4 linked regions of the Mus musculus genome follow. The protein of the gene in region 2 purifies or fractionates together with the protein of the main gene of each other region. This does not show direct contact. Links are inferred from orthologs where the notes say so. Each region holds a gene or a part of one and is shown on either strand. Other genes may lie near its edges.

Region 1 (3,566 bases), on a different chromosome or scaffold from region 2:
GGGAAGCAGCAACCTTGATTTTGCATGAGACCTGGGAGCTTACATGCTCTCTGAGTGTAGAGCATTGTGTGGGCCATGTCTTAAAGCAAGGAGGATGGTGGTACAAATACAACTTGAGCAGTTAATGAGCTAGGCAGGGCCCTGGTGCACAGGTGACTGTGCTGTTTTGGTAACACATATGGAGAACACTGCTTAATGTCCTCAAGGTTGATAACTGAGGAGGTAGTATTAGAGGCAGCCGTGTGCTGTGCAGCTTTGCTGAGCAGGAGAATAGCTGCACAGTGGGGACCACTGAAGGAAACAGCGAGCTTAGAAAACCTAGCAAGTAAATAGAGGAACAGTCCTAGTCCTTAAGGTGACATTCAGCTAGAAGGACATGGGGAAAGGCAGGTTAAGGCTGGGAAGCTGCCCGAGTTTATGACAGTAAAGAAGAGGAGTGTCTTAGAAGAGCCTAATGGGCTGTTAGCATTCAGACCTGCTGTCTCCTTAGCTATTCTGATGAGCATTTGGGGCAAGTTGCATAAAGAGAGTAGCCAGCCATTTACCAAAGGCGGAGCATCAGCCTCAATGGAGGTCACTGCCGGCAGCTGGAAGCAAGCTGTGAGGAAGGAATTATTTGAGAGACCATTGCCATCAAGTCAGGAAGGTGGACTAAATTATAGTTGTGACAAATTTGTGTCAAGTTTGAGGACACTAAGTATGAGGGACAAACAAGGAGGTAAGAATGTGTGTCTAACTCAGAAGTGATTTCAGTTGAAAGAGGTATATTTTAAGTGACTTGTTATATGGCTTGTCATTGTTGCCCAGGCTATCCTGGAACTCAGACTTAAGTAGTCCTGACTGACTGAGCACCGCAGTGCAGCTTACCTGACTCCTGAGTCCCAGGGTGTCTACTTGTCTGTTTACATCTGTACTGCAAGACTTGCAGGCGTTGCCTTCCCACTCACATGACCTCTTGACTTGAGGACTGCAGTGTTGCCCTTTGCGCACACCATGTGGTGGTCAACACTGTCCCTGGTGCTGAGGGTCATTCTGGAAGTAGCTGAATGAAAGGAGTTGGTAGGAATGTTACAGATGGTGAAACTGTCCATAAACAATAGAAGGGTATAGCAGCCATTTGACATGAGTTATCACTGGCAAGGTAGATTAGAAAAGCTGTGTGACATTCTAAAAAACTGAAGGAAATAAAGTTCTCAGAGTTGGGACACCATGAGGGCTAACAGGCCTGCCTTTGATGTCTGACTTTGCAGGTGGGATGCAGGCACTGGGGCTTCATCTGACAGACCCAAGTCAGCGACTTGTTCAAAACTGTCTTTGGACTCTCAGAAACCTTTCAGATGCAGCGACTAAGCAGGTATATTGTACACAAGTTGCTGCCTTGGCACTAGGGTCTGCATGAGCTCTGAGCTCATCATGTTTTTCTCTCAACAGGAAGGGATGGAAGGCCTCCTTGGGACTCTAGTGCAGCTTCTGGGTTCCGATGATATAAATGTGGTCACCTGTGCAGCTGGAATTCTCTCTAACCTCACTTGCAATAATTACAAAAACAAGATGATGGTGTGCCAAGTGGGTGGCATAGAGGCTCTTGTACGCACCGTCCTTCGTGCTGGTGACAGGGAAGACATCACTGAGCCTGCCATCTGTGCTCTTCGTCATCTGACCAGCCGGCATCAGGAAGCCGAGATGGCCCAGAATGCCGTTCGCCTTCATTATGGACTGCCTGTTGTGGTTAAACTCCTGCACCCACCATCCCACTGGCCTCTGATAAAGGTGAACTGTTAGCAGGGAGCTCTGTTGGGCATAGAGATGGTCTGCTGGGATGGATGGCTGGGAATAGGTGGTGGGACCCGAAGCGTCCATTTCACTCAACACTGCTTGTGCTTTGTTGTGTTGTCTACTGATTCTTTCCTCTGTAGGCAACTGTTGGATTGATTCGAAACCTTGCCCTTTGCCCAGCAAATCATGCGCCTTTGCGGGAACAGGGTGCTATTCCACGACTAGTTCAGCTGCTTGTACGAGCACATCAGGACACCCAACGGCGCACCTCCATGGGTGGAACGCAGCAGCAGTTTGTGGTAGGTAGATCTTTATGAAACATGGCTGTTGTAAATGGGGTGGGGTAAATGCAATCTCCATGTGCTGTCTCTACCTTCCCATCTTTTGGTGAAGGGCTGCTAATGACTGAAAAAGACTAGACTGTCTGGTTTCTAGAGACACTGTGTGACAAGCTCTGGTAATGTTTCCCTGGTCAACCTTAAAAAGGGACATGGAGTGTAATGTACTGTTGTGGGTTAGATCTTGCATGCATGTGCCAAAGTAGAAAATCTACCACAGCCATATTTGTATCCACTCTATCAGGTTCTTCTCCACATCAAAAATCAAGAGGAAGCCTGTTACAATAGGTTTTAGAACCCCATACTGCTGGTGGTTTTGTGTGTTTGCTTACTATTATTGTTTCTGGCCCCTTTCCATAGGATGGCCTCATAGTTAAGGTGCTGTGCCTTATAGTCTATGAACGAAATTCTGTGTCCTTATAGAAATCAGGTTGGGAAAAAAAAAAAAGAAATCAAGTTGACTATAAAAGTAATAGAGTTAAAACATAGATTAGAAAGCAAATACACAGGCTGCTGATGGGTCTCTGGGCAATCCCCTGGCAGCTCAGTGGGGTTTAACTGTAGGATAAAGCTGGGAATCTTTTCACCAGATAACGTGTAAGAAATAGAGGACAAGTGGGAAGGAATGGCCCACACTCACCTACCTTTACCAGAAAGGTTGATGCTCTTCCATGTAGTGACAAAGCCAACTTTGGGATTGGAAGGGTAAGGAAGCTGGACAGCCGCTGTCCTCAGTGCCTGTGGGGTTTATATCTGCAGAAGCTCAAGTCTCTCGTGCCAAAATTCTTGACGTTACATTGTGCCTGTGGTCACCCTTGGGACTTGCTGATCCCGTAGGGTGCATGGCGAGAGTGAGTCTGGGTGAGTAATGGCACGCTGCGCTTGGCACAGGTGGAGGCTGGAAGTCACAGCACAGGGAAGCTGCTCACACTGCAGGGAGAAGGCCTGTTGCTAGGAGCCTTCCGTTATACTCAGCGGAAGGGACCCTCCATTACAGAGCACTGGGCAAGCTGTGAGGATCTTTGGAGACAGTGCACATAAGTGGCTACAACTGCTGCTCAGAGAGTGCCAGCTTAACTGCTTTTCTCCTCCTAGGAGGGCGTGCGCATGGAGGAGATAGTAGAAGGGTGTACTGGAGCTCTCCACATCCTTGCTCGGGACGTTCACAACCGGATTGTAATCCGAGGACTCAATACCATTCCATTGTTTGTGCAGGTACGTCGGCTTCAGGTGACTGCTCTCCAGACTTGAGTCCCTAGACATTGAGAGGATTGGAGACCAGAAGCCTTGACTTTTTAGTCAAGAGCATTGGTACTATAGCCTGAGGAGAAGGGCGGGCCAGAGGACAATTCTAGAAATCCTATATGCCAGAGCAGCCTTCTCCTGGGCACATAGCCATGTAGGTGCTGCTGACACTCCAGATTGGGCAAGTGTGCACCACAGTGTGCACAC
Region 2 (3,566 bases):
ACCTGGGACAGCATATCCCTAACTTTCTAAAACACTCTTTTCACAGGGAAGAGCTCAGTTGTTGCCTTTTGCCCTTCCATTACACAAGGCTTGATCTGTGGCTGGACTACAGGAACAGCACTAGATTAGGGCTTGGTAGGGACAGACCTCACTAACCCGTAACTTTGCTTTTCCTTTTGTAGTCCTGGGAATAAAGAGCCTATTCAAGTGACCCCATGCCTTTGATGCACAATTTCTACAGTGCTAATATATTAATATGCTTAATATTACAGCATTAGTCCATGGGTCAAGTGATATACATATATAGTCTATCAAGCCTTTCTTGTTTAAGAGATTGTATAGCACGATGAAAAACACACTAGAGAAATCAGAAGATGTAGGTCCTAGTACTGGCTCATCATTCACTGTCTTGCTGCGATACCTTGGATAAGTCCTTTCAAAAACAAAACAAAACAAAACAAAACAAACAAAAAAACCCCCAAAAAACCTCTGCAAGATCCACTGAGATGCCTCAAAGACTCATTTTGGGGAAGGGGAAGTGGGATAGAGTAATGCTGCTTTTATTAGCTTTTCTCAGATTTTCAAATGTTATATTACTTGAAGAATGAGTTCTGCCAAAACAACTCCCCACAACTTTATCTTTAAATTCTTAGAGTGAGTTTGTAACAGGAAATAGAATAGGCAAAATTGCAGAAAACTCTAGGATGGTTTTTTTAAATTTAATTTTTACCTTGCATCCTTCACAAGCATGAACTCCATAGTGGAAGCCTGATGCTTTATCCCCACAGACTCGGCACTCAATGGCCATGAGGGAGTTAGAAGGTTCTTCATGAGGCCTGTTGTAGAGCTGGGTCTTTTCAGAATAATAAGGTGGAGATGCAGGTTCTACTTTGATCGCACCTGTGCATGGGAAAATTTGAGAAGATGGTTATCTCATGACAAACAATCTTAAAGAGGAACTGTGGCTTTCCATGGTGGCCTTCATATTTTCATGCCATAACTTTACTGTCTCAGAAGAGGCGCTGGGGAACATGAAGAAACGTTGGTGCTCAGATAGGAAAAGTAAGACTTTGTCATCTCAGGCAAGTCACAACACCCCAGAACCTCACCTGCACAAATAAAGCGGGAAGGGAATTAAAAGCCAGAGAATTAAGTGTGCTTCCCCCCCCCCCCCCCAAACTTCCCGCTGCTTTCCACAGACATTGCACAGGGTTTGGATAAGTGACGCTTACTTGGCTAGGCAATGGGCTGCATCTGGCATCCATTCTGCTATTATGGGTTTTATTGAAAAGGTGAATTTTAGAAATAGTTTTAAACTTTTCTTGCAAAAGAAATACAGAAGGAACATGGGCAAGAAAATGCCATGGTGAGCCTAGCCCGAGGTGCCAGGTTATCAACAGGGTTGAGTCTGAGGTGGTTTGTAAAGTGATCTTTGATAGAGAGTGGGAGCAACCTGTGTGAGGCAAGTACTGCGTTTGCCCGTGGCTCAGACCTATTGAATTTCCGTATTAGGCTCTAACCCTGAGCCACACAGATAAATACCCACGTATACTTTCTATCTAAAGAAAACAACTAGAAATTACAGGAAGTTCTTACTTATTATCAAGTAATGCTTGCCAGTGACACAGGGGTGACTCTGGAAAACCAGCACATCAGCCCACAAGATAAAAATCAAGGAAACAGCACCACAGAAATGATACTTTATCTCAAAAAGTTTGGTTCTGGTTTTCTTGAGGCTGATGTTTTATGTTAATTTACTTAATGTCATGATGATCTGTCAGTCAGCCACAATGTTCAAATGTAAGTTTATGCCCCAAACTAGGGTTTGAGGTAAATTTTACAAATTACAGCTTAGAAAGAAAGCCTAACTGTAATAGTAACTTAGCTATGATGAGTCATGTAAGTTGACCTACAGCTATGACTTACTGAAAAGAAGCTGGGAGAATTCAAAGTTTACATGATGGACTGTCAGCCTAAGACAAAACTGGCAATGTAGTCATCCTAGAAAATGTTCCAAAGATGGAAACAAGAAAGGAAAGAAAGGAGAAGATAGACGTGTGTGTGTGTGTGTGTGTGTGTGTGTGTGTGTGTGTGTGTGTGTGTAAGTTTGGGAACATTGGAGGGAGAAGAAGAAAGGGGGTTAGGTTGGGAACATTGTTGTGCTGTCTTATCTTGGCCTCCCACAGACATCTAGAACTTCAAGCGTAGTGGATAAACTGAGTAAAGATGCCTTCTTGTCAGAGTGCTAATCTCAGGAGCATTTATTCAATGGTTATTAAAAAACTGTCTAACTCCAATCCTAGTAGTTTGAAAAGTAAACATACTTTGGTATTCTTGGAGCTTCAGGTCATATTTGTAATCAGCAACCATTGGGTCAGCTCTTGTGAATGGAATGTCTTCATAGTGTGGAGCAGAAATGCTGGAGAAATCAACTGTGGTAAAGGGCTTGATGTCAAAGGAATGCGAGTGGTCTTCCATCACGGAGAGGTCCACAGAGCTGATTCCGAAGTTGGTGGGCCAGAATGGCATCTCTGTGTCAACCATGGTAATTTCTGAAGTGGAAAAAAAAGAACAGGATATGAGTCAAGTTCTGGAGGGCAGAGCAGTCCTCATAGACATAGAGAGGAGCTGAATGAGTTTAATAAAGCATTTCACTCAGACTTCCCTATGGGGGTGAGTGCACTACTGCCTTTCTAGTACCACCCAGGTAAGAAGGAAGTCAGCCTTTACCTGAGTTTCTGTATTGAGAGAACTTAAGATCTGCTTCATTAGCAAATTTCAACTATATGATACAGTATTTCTAACTATAATCATCTTGCTGTCTATCAGGACTCCAAAGTGTTATGGAAACCCTGGCCAGTCTTCCCTACGCCTAGGCCTTGGCAACTAGCAAGAGTATGTGGCATCTGGTTTCCTGAGTCTAGTTTGTTTTCCTTAGTACAATGTTCCTTTGGGTCATCTATATTGCTACAAGAAACAGAAGTTTTTCCTTTTTAAAGGCCATAGAGTATTTCACTGTATGTATGTGTGTGTGTGTGCATACATGTTCATGTGTGTGCATTCTGCATATGTGTGTATATATACTATGGGTTTTTTTTTTTACTTGTTTGAGTATGCATGCCTGTGTATACATGTGCATTCTGCATGTGTGTGTCTGTTCATACCACAGAGCTTTTTGTTTACTTTTACTTGTTTATATGTCTTAGATTCTCATGTTGATTTCATATCTTGGCTATAGTGAATAGTGTCATAATAAACATGGGAGCATAGAAGCTTTGACATAGTAATTTTTAGTTCCCTGGCCATATTTCTAGTGGTAGGGCTGCTAATCACATGGAAATTCCACTTTTGATTTTTTGAGAATCTCCACTTGCTTTCTATAATGGCTGCACAGTGTATAGTATACTTCACTAGAGATGTTTCTGTTGCTCCATATCCTCTCTTCTCTTCATGGACTAGCTATTCTAACAGACGTGGAATAGTATATTTTTGCTGTAGTTTTGATTTGCTTTTCTCTGGGGATTAGTGATATTGAACATTTTTTTTCATGTACCTTTTCACCATTT
Region 3 (3,566 bases), on a different chromosome or scaffold from region 2:
GTTAGGGGCAGGGGGAGAAGAGTCAGAATGGACTTTTAACAGGTATTTGCAATATGTATTGTATTTTTCTGGTTTGGTTGGTTTTTGTTTTTTGAGACAAGATCTCACTATTTGACCTCTCCTGCTTTAGCCTCCCAAGTGCTAGGATTAAAGTCACGTGGTCTGCCAAGCTCAGCAGCTTTTATTTTATTGTTGTTTTTGAGAAGGTGTCTTTTTGTAGCCCTGGTTTTTCTGGAACTCACTATGCAAACCAGGCTGGCCTTGAATTCATTGAGACACTCCTGCCTCTGCCTTCGCAGTGCTATGGTTAAAGGTGTGAGACCACACCCAGCCCCTGTAAATGTAACTTTTATTCACCAGATAATTGTCCTTTAAACTAGGCCTGGAAACCTTCAGCCTCTGAGATTTACTGCTGAGTAAGCTGTTTTTTGCTGGCTCAATTCAGCTATTCTGACTCAGAACTCCCCTCCAAGCTGACTGATTCAAATGGGCTTCTTTTTGCATCTCACTTAATTTCCTTGCTTTACCTCAAACTAACTAGCAATCTGTTCTAATCTTTTGACTCTTTTTTTTTTTTTTTTTTGGTTTTTCGAGACAGGGTTTCTCTGTATAGCCCTGGCTGTCCTGGAGCTCACTTTGTAGACCAGGCTGGCCTCGAACTCAGAAATCTGCCTGCCTCTGCCTCCCGAGTGCTGGGATTAAAGGTGTGCGCCACCACGCCCGGCCTTTTGACTCCTTATTCTCTAGCTTGTTCTTTTTTTTTTAATATTTATTTATTATATGTAAGTACACTGTAGCTGTCTTCAGACACCCCAGAAGAGGGCATCAGATCTCATTACAGATGGTTGTGAGCCACCATGTGGTTGCTGGGATTTGAACTCAGGACCTAACCACTGAGCCATCTCTCCAGCCCACTTGTTCTGTCTTTAACTGTGTCTAGCTTATTATAACTCTCTTCAACCTGTCTCTGTAGGGGAGGGGAAACCTCTCCCTGTAAACTGCCTCTGAATTCCATTAACTGAACAGAACTGACTAGAACTCAAGAGATATGCTTGCCTCAGTCTCCTAGGATTAAAGGCATGTCTGTATCCCAGCCTGTCTTCCAATGGGGATGGCATAGTGAGTTCTCGGATCACATAGACCTAGAAGATCTTTGGATATGATCTCTTGCCAGAGTGGCCATGTTCTGAATTATAATTCTTCTCTAAGCTCCTTATTTTAATTTACATGGAATCAGATGATACATCTCCTATCTTGGCCTTGAGTTTTTGGTTCTTGTGCTTCTGTCTCTCGAGTAGCAGAGATTACAAGGAGAAGCCTCCATGCTTTTCTTTTACCTTCATATTTAGGCCTGAAGGAGTGGCTCATTTTGTTTTAGTTTTTCAAGATAGGGTATTTATTTATTTATTTTTATGTAGCCCTGGCTGTTGTGGAACACCAGGCTGGCTTTGAACTCAGAGATACACCTGCCTCTGCCTCTTGTGTGCTGGAATTAAAAGCATGTGCCAGCACCAGCATAAAATTAGTAGCCACCCATAAGAAAAGCAAACACTGCTCATGCACATAAAAAATAATAAAAAGAGAGCATGGGCTAATAGGATAGAACTTTGTGCAAAAAACAAAACAAAAAAAAAATTCATGTAAGAAAGTCAGTGAAGCTAGATTTGTTGGTGACACAGATCTGCTGCCACAGTACTTGGAAGCAGAAAAATTGCAGATTTGAAACCTGTCTAATCTAAAAGTCAATTTAAGACCAGCATGAGCTAAATAAAAGAGATTCTGTCTGGAACAACAAACATTCTGTGGAGCCAGACATGGTAGTGTATATCTGTAATCTCATCACTCAGGAAACAGAGGCACAAGGATAATCCCACTTTTAGAGCCAGCCTGTTCTACACAAGGAGTTCTATGGTAATTTGGGCTATACAATGAGGCCTTGTTGCAAAAGTAAGTAAATAAACTCACAAACTTGAGATGAACTCCATGGTAGAACATTTACCTAGCAATCAGAGTCAATGAGAAGTCAGAAACAAGAGCTGCATAATAGGACCTACTCAAATGTACTATATTACCCCTTTACAAGATTTCTGATCCCACAGTCTTTTTTTTTTTTTTTTTTTTTTTTGTCTACAGAGCAAGTTCCAAGACAGCCAAGGTTACACAAAGAAACCCTGTCTCCAAAATAAATAAGCCAAAAAAATTTTATTTGTGTATTTATATGCAGCTAATAGGCCAGAGAAGACTTTAGAGTCTTTGAATCTGGTGGTGTGGGTCACTTGGTTGTAGTTGCTTGAAATGAAATTCCAGTCCTCAGGAAGAGCAAAAGTACTCTTAACTACTGAGCAGTCTCTCTAGCTCCCAATAAAAATAAAAGTTGAAAAAACAAAAGCTAGGTGTGATGGCACCTGCCTTTAATTCCAGCCCTTGGGAGGCAGAAGCAGGCAGATACCTGAGTTTGAGGCCAGCCTGATCTACAGAGTGAGTTTCAGGACAGCCAGAAACTCATTTCAACTATACATTGAAACTCTGTCCCCAAATATAAACAAAACAACAAAAACAACAGGGGCTGGAACAATAGCTCAGCAGCTAAAAGCATTGATTGTTCTTCCAGAGGACTGGTTTAGATTCCTAGTACCCTATGTGGTGGTTCACAGCCATATGTAACTTCAGTTCCAGGAGACCTACCATCCTTCTCTAAACTCAGTAGGCACCGGTGTGCTGTGTTGCACATACATATGTGCAGGCAAAATACTCATAAAATAAATAAATCTAAAAAACATTTTGATACACAAACAGAGAGACAGATACAGGGCTTCTCTGTGTGACAGGCCTAGGCTGTCCTGAAACTTGATCTGTAGACCAGTCTTCCCTTGAACTCACGAAGATCCACTTGTGTCTTTCTTCGGAATGGCATATAAAAGTAAGTCCTAGTGACAGGTATAATGGCACACATACCTTTAATCCTACCTAGTTTTATGCAAGCAGAGGCAGATGGATCTCTGAGGTCAGCCTTGTCTACTTAGTAAGTTCCAGGACAGCCAGAGCTACATAGAGTCTTTCTCAAAAACAAAGGAATGGGTTAAGTAATTGCTTCTGACAATTACTATTCTAATTTCTTGGTTCCCTACTTTCTAGCTCCAGAGTGATAAATCATAATATTCTCATTTTTAGAGCCTCAGGAGATCCTGGCAAAAAGAAACAGCACATTTGTCACATCCAAGGATGCGGCAAAGTATATGGCAAGACCTCACATCTCCGAGCACACTTGCGCTGGCATACAGGGGAGAGGCCATTCATGTGTAATTGGTCATATTGTGGGAAGCGCTTTACACGTTCGGACGAGCTTCAGAGACATAAACGTACACATACAGGTGAGTAAGACCCAAGGGAAAAGGGAAAGTAGTAGACAGAAAAGAAATGAGGGCTGGAGAAATGGCTCAGTGGTTAAGAGCATTGACTGCTCTTCCAGAGGTCCTGATTTCAATTCCCAGCAACCACATAGAGGCTCATAACCATCTATAATGGGATCCAATGCCCTCTTCAGACAGCTACAATGTATTCATGAA
Region 4 (4,062 bases), on a different chromosome or scaffold from region 2:
AATTCTTGGCAGGTCCTTGTGGGAGGCCCAGTCAGGGTGAAGGTCAGGCAGCAGGTCTGGGCATACATCTGCCCCCCAAGTTTGCACAAGACGAAGAGTCTACAACTCTAAGACACTCACTAGTGAGGTCCACAAGGGTTCTGGGGTCAAGTTACTAACCACCAGAACCATGATGGGGCCCTGGATGACCTCTCAGGCCCCGCTCAGCCCCGCTCAGAAAGGCAGTGAACTCTTGCACCTGGGCTAGAAACAGCAAGTAGTGCTTGAGTGTGTACTGGAGGGTTAGCAAGCTAGGAACTGTAGCCACCGCCTCTTCGTATATGAAAGCTGCAACCCCAGAAACCTCTGCCTCCAGGACCACTGCAAAGAGTGACAAGGAGGTTCTGGGGATAGCTTTTTTTGAGCTCCTAGAGCCCCCACCCAACTTGGGCAAAGATGCTACCTACTCACTCGAGGCAGTGGCAGAAACCACGCAGCGAAGTTTGACTGCGGCGCCCAGATCAGCAGAAAGCCGAGTTCTGCTTCTCCAAGTCCGGGGTTGGGGGTGTTAGCGGCCAACAGCTGATGCAGCAGCGGCTAGAAATGCCTCAACGACAGACCATGGGGTCAAAGGGTCTTGGTGCAGGCGCTCTCCAAGGAAACCAGCCGGCTCCGCCCTTGAAGAAGCTCCTCCCCATGACCGCGAGAAGGGCAAGAGTCCAGCCGTGCACCCGCAGCTACTTCTATAGCAACCGCAGAAGGTCCTTCGGTGTCAGCGTGTCACGTGCTTGTTTCTCAGCCATTAATGGCCGCAGGCAGCTCCTCCCGATTCCCGAGGAAGCCCCTCGAGAGCGGTCTGATCTGCGGGCCTCTCTTCTACCCTCAATTCCGCCTTCCTACCGGCGGTCCAGACGTTCCCAGGCTGTCGCGTGAGCCCGTGTGTGCCCTGGTGGTGCGCTAGGACCCGGGCCTAGTGACCGGCCCTCGGAAGGCCACTTCTCAATGACCGCTGCCACGTTCGCCCAGCTTGGGGCCGGAGGGCGGGGCTTGAGCGCCGATGGGCGGAGCCTTGGTCTGAGCAGGGTAGGTCTCGGTTACTGTAGGGCGGGGCCTGTAGAGCGCGGCGGAAGCTTCTCAGAGCTAAGGGAACTGGCTCAATCCACGAGGCTCCGCCTTTGCTCACGTGTCCCCATGCCAGCTCCGCCCCACACCGGAAGTTCCGGTGGCGGATCGCCGACCGGGCGGAGCTGATCGCTGCGCGGGCTGCGAGATCTAGGTGGCCGGGCGCGGAGCCCAAGCCGTGCCGCGCGGCGCCATGAAGGGCAAGGAGGAAAAGGAGGGCGGCGCGCGGCTGGGCACTGGTGGCGGCGGCAGCCCTGATAAGAGCCCGAGTGCGCAAGAGCTCAAGGAGCAGGGAAACCGGCTCTTCGTGGGCCGCAAGTACCCGGAGGCGGCGGCCTGCTACGGCCGCGCCATCGTGAGTGCGGGAGGGGCGGGGGCGGGGCCCGATGTGCCTCCCAGTTTTGTGATCCCGGACAGGGTTTCTGGCAGCCTGGACTCGATGGCTCGCTCGCTCCCCTGGTGCCCGGATTGCTGTTCCCGAGTCTAGGGCTGATTTGACTGGGAACTGGCGGGCGGGATGCTTGATTAAGTAAGACTAAGGATGACACCAGGAGCTCTTGCCCCTTGAGATTTCCAAGCCCAGAGCTTGTAGAGGGGTTGTGGGATTTCTCTCAAAAGCAGTTGGAGGCAAGAAAGCATGGCCAGAATCCAGAGCTCTTGATAATTCGGAAATCTCCAGTTCCTCTATTCCAGCCATGGGCCCCCAAAGCTGGAGCATTGACCAGATCATTGGCTTTCAGCTTGCTAAATGAGAGGGGATCAACTGAGCCCACACTCTTTGACGCCTGGTCTTGGTCCCCAGACTCGGAACCCACTTGTGGCAGTGTACTACACTAACCGGGCCCTGTGCTATCTGAAGATGCAGCAGCCTGAACAGGCACTTGCTGACTGCCGGCGAGCCCTGGAGCTGGACGGGCAGTCTGTGAAGGCGCACTTCTTCCTGGGGCAGTGCCAGCTGGAGATGGAGAGTTATGATGAGGCCATTGCCAATCTGCAGCGAGGTGGGCTGACAAGATGCAAGGTTGAGGGCACCTTGGGGGACCAGGATTGTTGACAAGTGTAACCAAAAGTGTCCACTCCCCTAGCCTATAGTTTGGCCAAGGAGCAGCGACTCAACTTTGGGGATGATATTCCTAGTGCCCTTCGCATTGCTAAGAAGAAGCGCTGGAACAGTATCGAGGAACGGCGCATCCACCAGGAGAGTGAGCTGCATTCATATCTCACCAGGCTCATTGCTGCTGAGCGAGAGAGGTGGGTCCCTCCCCCAGCAGACACTGAGTCACCAGCACAAGTGTTTTTATTGAAGGACAACAACCGGTACATGGGAAGCCCAGGAGGAAAGAGGCCTGAGATGGGGCGGGCTCTGTGATTTCCTGGTCAGGGCCATCACCAACTAGCTTCTGGTTAACCCTCAGGGAACTGGAGGAGTGTCAGCGGAACCACGAGGGTCATGAAGATGATGGCCACATCCGGGCCCAGCAGGCCTGCATTGAGGCCAAGCACGTGAGGGTGCCCCTAGTCCACATGTGGGTCATTGTGTGTGTGTTTGTGTGTGGCATGAAAAGTGCCCCAGCCTTTGGTGGATCTGTTGGCCCATGCATGACATGAGTGCCCTGGTGGACAGAGTGTGTGTGTCTGTGTGGAGACAGGAGTTGCCCACACATGGCACTCAACTCTGCAGGATAAATACATGGCAGATATGGATGAGCTCTTCTCTCAGGTGGACGAGAAAAGAAAGGTGAGGACCCCCGGAAGCTCATCGGCTGCTGCTGGTATGGTGACCCCCACAGCCCCCTCCAGTTCTAGACATTTTCCCCTTGTGCTATAGAAGCGAGATATCCCTGACTACTTGTGTGGCAAGATTAGCTTTGAGCTGATGCGGGAACCCTGCATTACACCCAGTGGTATCACCTATGACCGCAAGGACATTGAGGAGCACCTGCAGGTAAGGAGGGCCCATGGAGACCGGGCCATGGAGAGCCTTGGTACCCGGATCGGTATACTCAGGCCATTGAACACTCTTGACTCTGTTGCAGCGTGTGGGCCACTTTGACCCTGTGACCCGGAGCCCTCTGACCCAGGAACAGCTCATCCCCAACTTGGCCATGAAGGAAGTCATTGACGCTTTCATCTCTGAGAACGGCTGGGTAGAGGACTATTGAGGCCCCATGTCCTGCCTGGCACCCTGGCCCAGGAGGATCTGGAGACGGAAGCTCCAGTCCCTGTATAGTTTGTGTCCCTGGGCCTGCCCCCATCGGCCCTGCTGATGGGTTCTGAACTGCTCCCCTTCTCAGCATACCCCTTGCTGGACCATGAGCCTCCCTTGTCCCCCTTCTGGGCTGGAGAGTGGGTGAGGGTGGGCTGAGGTTGCTGCTGCTGCCACTGTCCTGTAATAAAGTCTGTGAGCACTACATTGGCATGTGCTGGTGCAGTGGGCTTGCCAGTTGCCTGTCTGGCTAGCCAAGGAAGGTAGAAATGAAGACACTGGTGTCCAGATTGAGTGTGGCATGCCACCACCGATCAGGAAAATACAGTACCTGGGAGAAAAGAAAAAAAAAATTTTGATTCATGGCTTTTTGAGTTAGCCCAACCCCCACCTACCAGCTACTGACTTCACCAGCCTGGATGGTACATTCTAGAGGCCGTGCTGACAGGGCTAGAGATGGGTATATTTCCAGCAGCCAGGCCAATGTGGTCTTGTTAGGGTGGAACTCAGGTGTCTTCTCAGGAGGGTAGAGGAACCAGCGCTGGAGGCAGGAGTGTAAGGTCACTATGTGTGCAATGGACTATAGACACCAGATTTACACACACACATAACACACACATAACACTGTACTGACCTTCCGACCATAGATAACCTCTGAGAAACCAGGCCCATGCCAGTGGAAGGGTACCCCAGATCCAGCTCCTGTGGGGTCAGTTATGAATAGCTGATGAACAAAATATATATGGGCTCCCCCA

Evidence for each region.
Region 1: the proteins of Pparg (region 2) and Ctnnb1 purify together in Homo sapiens (affinity purification with western blotting; 4 studies listed by BioGRID). This does not show direct contact. The link is inferred for Mus musculus from reciprocal best matches to the Homo sapiens genes PPARG and CTNNB1.
Region 3: the proteins of Pparg (region 2) and Sp1 purify together in Homo sapiens (affinity purification with western blotting; 3 studies listed by BioGRID). This does not show direct contact. The link is inferred for Mus musculus from reciprocal best matches to the Homo sapiens genes PPARG and SP1.
Region 4: the proteins of Pparg (region 2) and Stub1 purify together in Homo sapiens (affinity purification with western blotting; 3 studies listed by BioGRID). This does not show direct contact. The link is inferred for Mus musculus from reciprocal best matches to the Homo sapiens genes PPARG and STUB1.

The regions. Positions count from the first base shown.
Region 1 is NC_000075.6:120,953,898-120,957,463, forward strand, and holds part of Ctnnb1 (catenin beta-1), read left to right. Parts: intron 1-1,188; exon of another isoform or gene 1,189-1,250; coding exon 1,251-1,354; intron 1,355-1,431; coding exon 1,432-1,770; intron 1,771-1,916; coding exon 1,917-2,075; intron 2,076-3,209; coding exon 3,210-3,329; intron 3,330-3,566. UniProt on the Homo sapiens protein: Key downstream component of the canonical Wnt signaling pathway.
Region 2 is NC_000072.6:115,438,826-115,442,391, reverse strand, and holds part of Pparg (peroxisome proliferator-activated receptor gamma), read right to left. Parts: intron 2,553-3,566; coding exon of another isoform or gene 2,545-2,552; coding exon 2,325-2,544; intron 901-2,324; coding exon 731-900; intron 1-730. UniProt on the Homo sapiens protein: Nuclear receptor that binds peroxisome proliferators such as hypolipidemic drugs and fatty acids.
Region 3 is NC_000081.6:102,426,786-102,430,351, forward strand, and holds part of Sp1 (transcription factor Sp1), read left to right. Parts: intron 1-3,171; coding exon 3,172-3,371; intron 3,372-3,566. UniProt on the Homo sapiens protein: Transcription factor that can activate or repress transcription in response to physiological and pathological stimuli.
Region 4 is NC_000083.6:25,830,086-25,834,147, reverse strand, and holds Stub1 (STIP1 homology and U box-containing protein 1), read left to right. Parts: upstream 1-1,228; 5' UTR 1,229-1,294; coding exon 1,295-1,456; intron 1,457-1,903; coding exon 1,904-2,102; intron 2,103-2,186; coding exon 2,187-2,352; exon of another isoform or gene 2,353-2,516; coding exon 2,517-2,604; exon of another isoform or gene 2,605-2,782; coding exon 2,783-2,839; exon of another isoform or gene 2,840-2,929; coding exon 2,930-3,046; exon of another isoform or gene 3,047-3,137; coding exon 3,138-3,263; 3' UTR 3,264-3,514; downstream 3,515-4,062. Other genes in the region: Jmjd8 (jmjC domain-containing protein 8 precursor), read right to left, coding at 3,558-3,638, 3,714-3,848, 3,942-4,009. UniProt on the Homo sapiens protein: E3 ubiquitin-protein ligase which targets misfolded chaperone substrates towards proteasomal degradation.